2 linked regions of the Oryctolagus cuniculus genome follow. The protein of the gene in region 1 interacts with the protein of each later gene in a pairwise test. Links are inferred from orthologs where the notes say so. Each region holds a gene or a part of one and is shown on either strand. Other genes may lie near its edges.

Evidence for each region. The genes of interacting proteins can lie anywhere in the genome.
Region 2: the proteins of TFIP11 (region 1) and FAM13C interact in binary tests that used the Homo sapiens proteins (3 or more experiments, as listed by UniProt). The two-hybrid records come from large-scale screens. The link is inferred for Oryctolagus cuniculus from reciprocal best matches to the Homo sapiens genes TFIP11 and FAM13C.

The regions. Positions count from the first base shown.
Region 1 is NC_091452.1:20,269,999-20,273,477, forward strand, and holds part of TFIP11 (tuftelin-interacting protein 11), read right to left. Parts: intron 3,018-3,479; coding exon 2,490-3,017; intron 2,381-2,489; coding exon 2,274-2,380; intron 1,644-2,273; coding exon 1,475-1,643; intron 1,050-1,474; coding exon 806-1,049; intron 377-805; coding exon 234-376; intron 1-233. UniProt on the Homo sapiens protein: Involved in pre-mRNA splicing, specifically in spliceosome disassembly during late-stage splicing events. Intron turnover seems to proceed through reactions in two lariat-intron associated complexes termed Intron Large (IL) and Intron Small (IS).
Region 2 is NC_091446.1:51,834,764-51,838,509, reverse strand, and holds the start of FAM13C (protein FAM13C), read left to right. Parts: upstream 1-1,236; 5' UTR 1,237-1,341; coding exon 1,342-1,403; intron 1,404-3,746.

The DNA of each region.
Region 1 (3,479 bases):
CTGGTTCTGATGGGATCCTGGCCCTGTGAGCTGTGGGAGCCGAACAGCCTGGAACGTGAGAGTGTGGCTGGGGAAGTCAAACTGGCAGCTCCGTGTCCTGGCCACCATGTCCATCCCCCTGGGGGGCCACAGTCCCCACGGAGCTGCTGAGAGCAGCAGCCACGACTCAGCCCATGGTGCCCTCAGCCAGGCCTGCATGGAAAGGAAGCGCCGGCCCCGGCCCGAGCACACACCTGCAGCCACTTGGGGAAGAAGTGCTTCTCGAGGAGCCCCACGAGGCTGGAGACGGAGATCATGCCCTCCCAGTCGATCACCCAGTAGAAGGCATCCATGTGCTGCTGGTGGGGGTTGATGACCAACTCGCCCAGACACATTCCTGCAAGAGACAGCCTGGCTCGGAGGGGGCTCGGCTCCTGCGAGGCCGCAGCAGCCACGGTGAATCCCCGCCAAGCTGCCCGGCCGACCGTTCCCAAAGATCACTTTGAAGCCTTGATGTAACAATTCTTAAAAGGCGTCTTCTTCTCTAACCCAGAACAAACTCATATTTAGCATGAAATCCCACAAAAGCTTGAGAACACCGACAGCCCAGCCAAGGCCAGTGCTCGGGAAGTGCACAGGGCACCCCGAGTCCAGCACCGCCCCTGCAGACACGGCAGAGGACCCCGCGAGGTTACGTTCGGCCCCTGCACACACGGCACGGTTCTCACAGCGAGAAATTACATGTGCTACGCATTTCCACGCACTCAGAGGCCAGGGCAGCAAAGCCACCGGATACACAGAGAAGGCGTGTGGCCCGTGTCCTCACCCAGCTTGGGCACTATGTTCTTGACCATGAAGGCCTCCCAGGAGCCGGGGGTGAAGACGTCCTTCCAGGGCTGCAGGATGAGCTTGGCGGAGGAGTCGCTGGGGTGCCACTTCTGCAGCGCGCTGGACAGCTTGCTGCGGATGGGCGAATAGAGCGGCTCCAGCCGGGCCTGCATGAGCGGCAGCCACGGGTGGATCCAGGAGTGGATGGGGACGGTGTCCGTCAGTGGGTTCCAGTTCTCCACCTGCGGATGAGTGGGGAGACGCGCTTCAGAGAGTGTGGGGCGGCTGTCTGACACCCGGCGGACTTAAAGGCAAGCGCTGGTCCTGGGGGAGGAGGCCTGGCACTCTCCTGGCCAAGGGCCAAAGCCTTCTGCATGTGGATGGAGGACATGGTCTCATGGGCAACTCTGTTTCCCCACAGACGCTGACCCAAACACGGCCATGCATCTGTGATAAATCTGACAATGGCACAGTTCTAACTGTGCAGAATGGGCAGAAAGCACTGCCCCGGGGCAGGGGGTGTGGGGGCAAAGCGGAGAAGAGGGCGGGGCTGACAGCACGGGACGACAGCCACGCCGGCAGGGCCTGCTCAGTCCAGACGTCCCCGTGGTGCCGAGGTAACGAGCAGAAATGCTGGCCAGCCCCCTGGGCACCGGCGAGGGCCCACCTCCTTCTGCAGCTTGGGGAAGATGAGCTGGTCCAGGATGTTGTCCAGGACCCACGCGGGGATGATGTGCACCCAGCTGTCCAGGAAGTCCACCATCGGGTCACAGTTCCGCGGCTGCCACTGGTTGACGATGTTTCGGACAAAAGGCATCCAGACCTCCCATATCAACCTGTGGGGAGAGGCAGGGGCGGGCGGTGAAGTGCTCAGGACACTCGTCACCGCCCGCCCCCAAGAGAAGGGAGAAGACCCAGCAGGGAAAGCCGTTAGCCCCAGGAAACCGCGCTGGTCAGCCGGGCCCGCCTCTGGGCGTGCTCTGGCTGTCTGCACCTGCTCATGTCCTCGGGGATGTTCGCCGCCAGGCAGGGCAGCTTCAGGACCACAGGGCCCCTGCAGGCCACTTTCCCCCCAGAGTCCCCCCACAGCTGACGTCTGTCTCCGGGTCACAGCTTAAATGTCGCCTCTCTGGGGGAGGGGCTGGCCCCTGCTCCTCTCCGTCACTGTGAACAGTAAGCACCCTATGTCTGCACTTTCCCATCTGTCCTCTGCCCTGTGCACTGTACTGCAGACGGGGGCTGCTCCTGAGTGTGCCCAGCACCTGGCACACGCGTTGACCCAAAGCCAGCTGAATCCGTCGATGCTCCTGGGCCTCCCCCGGGCCCAGGGGCCAGCAGCAGGAGCGTGGAGCCCCACCCGCAGTACCTGTGGAAGGCTTCTCCTGAGAGGTCCTGCCCCCCCCCCCCCGCCCCGGGCCCTGGGTCCAGGGGCCAGCAGCAGGAGGGCCGAGCCCCGCCCGCAGTACCTGTGGAAGGCGTCCGCCGAGAGGTCCTGCCCGCCGTGGGACAGGAGCTGGTCATTCTCCAGGAGGCTTTTCCACTTGGAGATGATCTCGGTTCCGTACGTGCAGTCCTAGGAGGAAGGAGCAGCTGAGGGGCAGGGCCAAGCAGCCCCGGGCCCTCGGCCCAGCCTCCCCCGACGAGGGCGAGGGCGGGCAAGGCTGGGCTCCACGGCGACTCACCTTGAGGGGGTCCCAGTCCTTGAAGTAGTCCTTCATGAGCGGGTAGACGATGGCCACGGCGAGGTCCACGCGGTCGGACATCCTGTACTCCTCGTAGTACTTGTCCTGCAGGGTCTGGAAGACGCGGGCGCACTCGTCCAGCGTGAGCGGGTTGCTGCAGGCCGGCTGCAGGCGCCGTGCGCACTGCTCCACCAGCTCCAGCACCTTGCTGAGGTTGGCGATGGCGCGCTCCTCGTGCTCCAGCACCTCGGCCATCTTGTCGAGCTCGTGCGACAGGTTCACCACCATGTCCCGCTCGTACTGCAGCTGCCGGTCGTTCTGGATGATCTCCTGCTCCGTGAGCTCGATCAGCAGCTGCAGGTTGTGCTCCAGCTCGGGCAGCGCGAAGCCGGGGGCCTTGGCCTCCTTGCCCGGCACGGGCGGCGGCTGGGCCTGCAGGGGCAGCCCCTCGTCGGGCACGCTGTGCTTGTGGCTGATCTGGCTGTAGCTGTAGTAGACCTTCTGCTCCCGGCCCGTCATGTCTATGACCTGGGGGAACGGGGGGAGGCAGAGGGGCGTGGGTCAGCAGGTGGCTAAGCCTGGCCGAGAGTGAGAGCCACGCCACTCGGCAGAGCCGCAGCGGGCAGTGTTTGATAAAGTGGGGTCCGCGCAGTACTAGACTGAGGAGACTCAGGGACAAAACAAACGACGCAGCAAGCGGTTTAGGCTGCATCCCTTAGAACAAGCTGGACAGAGGATTCTTGGGAAAGCTGAGGAAACTTCAATGGGAACTGAGGACCAGTGATGCAAAAGTGATCTGACTGGAAAAGCAGAGGCTGTACTGTGTACACACCAGGCCCTGATGGCAGCAGGCAGTAAAACATCTCACTCTGCTGAAACACACTCGTGCGCATGGAAGCATCGAGAAACATGGACAGGGACGTGCGGTAAGGAGCTAGCACCTGCTCACGTTAGGTCAGGAACTCCCTGCGGCGGTTCAACTGCTACCTG
Region 2 (3,746 bases), on another chromosome or scaffold:
AGTTACCATGTAACTCGACATGGGTAAGATCTAATCCACTGTGCTTAGCTAAGTCAAGCACAAGGATAATCTCCTAGCCTTTGGGTGGACCTATTAAACAGTATGACACTTAGTATGGCACTGATAGATCATGCTTCCCTACCTCCCCAACCCCGCATTTCTAAGTTTGAAATTTAGAAATTTAAAAAAACATTTAAAAATTTAAAAATACATTTTTGGCGGTTTCGGTCTTAAATTAACTCATCACCTTGTGTACTTTGCACTAAAAGCCACCATCTCAGTTGCTTCTGGGAGTGGAGACATTAAAAAAGGGGGGGGGGGGTGAACCTTACTTCAAAATTCAAATAAGCATCTTTCACAGATGACTGTTCATTCCATATCAAGGTCAACGTGACCAGAGAAAGGAGCCACGGAAAGAGGGCAGGACACACATCCCCAGGGGCATGAAGCCACTAGGGGCTGGCAGCTTTCCCCTCCTCCAGCATGGCTACCTTCCTTCCAGGGGGTGGTGTTTGTCCATTCTGTCTCTCCACCCTTTGTGAGGGTGCAGCTCAGGCGGGCGGCTGGGGCGGAGCAAGCCCCACCCCCTTTCAAGTGCCCTAGTCACCAGCTAATGCCTGTAATAAATAAATGCTCCACTTGCCCTGTGTGGGCTCATTCACAGCTCTGTCCTCCCGGGCTGGGCGCTTCCTCTGTGGGTCTGAGATAACGGGGCAGACAGATCGGGAGTGATGCCCCAGTCCTTCTTAACGGCTCTTCTCCTAAGCAATGAAAAGAACACACACAATAAAAACCAAGCAAAATCCCGGCAGCGAAGTCCCCCTCCCCCTCGGCTTTTTCTGAAGGATGGATGCTTCTCGGCGAGCCTCCAGCCCTGGGGATTGGGAGTGGAGGGGGGGTAGCTCAGTCAGACTGGTAGAAGACGTCTGGAGGAAAGCAGGTCTCCGGGGTATTTCAGCACCTAGGCAGAAACAGGAGGACGTCGCCGGCCGGCCCCGGGGTGGGGGTGGCTGGCCCAGAGAGCCGTGCAGCGAAGGCTGGCTAGGCTGGGGGCGCGCGGGAACTCTCCAGGTGCCCCTCGCTGCCAGCCGGGGTCTCGGTCGAGCCGCCGCCGCGCCCCGCCCAGCTCGGTCCCCGCACCCTCGCGGGCTGCCGGGCTTTGTGGTTCGCCTGTGCAGCTGGGCCCCTGCTGGGGGTGTCGTTACGAGCATGTGCAGACAGCAGCCCAAGGTAGAGCGTGCCGGGCGAGCCCTGAGACTTGCCTTGCAATGCCATGTTTGTGTATGCGCTCTAACTCCCGGAGAGCAATCAGGGAGACGGCTCCCCGGCCAGACTTGGCTGATGTTTTCTTGTTTCTGTTTCAGCCTTCAGGATAATTCCTTCAGCAGCACCGCTGTAACAGAGTAAGTGATTCTTGCCATTAAAATTAGACTTGCATGCCTTTTCTGCGGAAGCAACTAGCGTGAAGGTATCTTCCACCGTCTCCAGCAGCTCTTCCTATTAGATGCATTGTCTCCCGTAATCGGGCTGTGAACACGGCGCGAGACGTGCTGACTGATGGGGCCCAGAAATCTTTGCAGGTTGAAATCAGCGTTTTAGCAGCTGCAGGAGAGAGATGAAAAGCAGCTGATTGCTTGTGGGAGCTCAGTGCTCCGAGATAGGTGTTCTTGGAGCTCAGATATTGAGAAAGATCTATTTGGCATGTCAGAAAGGAAGCTTTGTTGCTTTTTTGCCAACATTGGTGTCAATGCTCGTGGAGTGCACGTTGTATACATTAACTGCAAATAGGAGATGGATGTGAAATGACTTGAGTTTAATTCCAGCATGCGGATGAAACAGGCTAAACTTATCCTTGCTCTCTCTCTCTTCTACAGATTAAGACACAGGAGAGTAAACTTTTCTCGCATGCCCTTTGTCATTCTTGGCTTCTAGGCACAGAGATCTGGCTATAGGAGGAATGAGTCATCTGGTCCTATGGTTAAAGCTGTAGATTAGGGCAACTGACACCATTAAAAGATCAAATGAAGGAGTGTGCTGTTCTCAAGGCCAGCAGGCACCGTATTTGTTCTGTTAGATAGTTAAGGTTCATAGTTTTCATTCTTGTCCCTTCTTCAATGTTTTCCTAATATTTTACTATATAACTTAAGAAGTAAAAGGTAGTATATTTTGCTAATACTATATTTAATGTGTAGTTTGTATTATATATATATATGTGTGTGTGAAGTACATATATGTCATCTTCCTCTAGGCGAATTCATGATGTTTATGTTTACTTCCGGGACCTTTGGCAAAAGTCCCTCTAAACAACTGTTCAGGGAAAAGGCATGTGTACAGTTGTATAATCAACTACATTTAAAAGCAAATGTTGCAAGGTTGATAGAGGAAGCACAACTAACTTGGGAGCTGTTTGCTGAAGTTCTCTAAAACAGCGAATAAATAAAGAAATGGGTATCACTAGATCTCCCAGTCCTACTACTGTCTCAATGCCTTGGTGACGGAAGAGCAGGTCTCTCTAGTGCTCTCACACCCTCTTGTTTCCCATTTCTTTTGTTGCTCTGTTTGGGTTGCTGCTGTCTTGGTGTCTAGCACTGAGCTCACCTAAGAGGAGCTGCTTAAAAGCAAACACTAGGGTTGATTCCAGCTGAGGTGGTATGAAATACTCATTTGGACCTGCAGCCATTAATTGCTTGGTAACCTGTGCTGCAACTTTGCTTTTTTAAAAGCCTGAGAGAAGTGGAGAGATGTGTGCCCAAATCTCCAGGCCAAACGTGAGGCCTTGACGTCCTGACTCAGGTGCATAGGTACTGCTCTTCTCCTTTTGCTCTGCTTACAAACACCAAGAGCTCACTTGGCCTGATTGTCAGGAGCCCTGTTTTGCTAAGTACCCAGAGACAGTTACAGGCATAGCAGCTTAAAATGGAGACACTTAGTTCCAGATGACACATAGCTTTTTGTTTTTTTGGTAAAGGTTTTATGGTTAAATGCTGGAGAGAATGTGGTATCTTGTTTTTGGACACTCCCCAAGAAGTTTGGATTGCATAAGATCATGTTGTTACTTTCAGAGAAGTGATAGTGATTTATTTTAAAAGGCTGTAAGTGATAATTGGGATGCCATCTGGCTAATATAAAAATCTAAGGAGCATATTGAAAGCATGCAAGGTGGAACACTGCACAGATTGGGGTCACTTAAAACCAATCATTGGCTAACTTGAAATTCTCCCTCAGTAATCTGAACCATGCTCCTTGGTTCTCTAGGGCATGACCCCACAGCAGTAGGACCAGGGTCCCTTATCCAGAGACAGAGACGTATCAGGGACTTAGTCAACGTCTGGGTATGGGCTTAGACTACACGGAGGAGATGTTTTTCTGTCTTACATGTTCTGGATATCAGAAAAGTTCCTCTTCCTCCTGGGCCCACCACACTCCCACTTCCTCCTACTCACACCCACTTATTTTCTTTCGTGTCCGACATTCCACCTAGAGATAACATCTTTTGGATTAAGTGTGCTAGTAGTGAACCTTCTTAAAATGGAGGTGTAAAAGTCTGCACTCCTGGGAGGTAGATTCAAGTTGTCAGTAGCACTTTTATAGGGACTGCTTCATCACGTATTCCATTCTGACAGGGTTGCACTGGGCCAACTGAGGGTCTTAAGAGTCAACAGGAAGTGGAATTGTGAAGGATTCAGGGACACATTTTAGTCTCTTCTTGGCTTTGCCCAGGAAAGGCCCTGTCTGTGCTGCTCTGC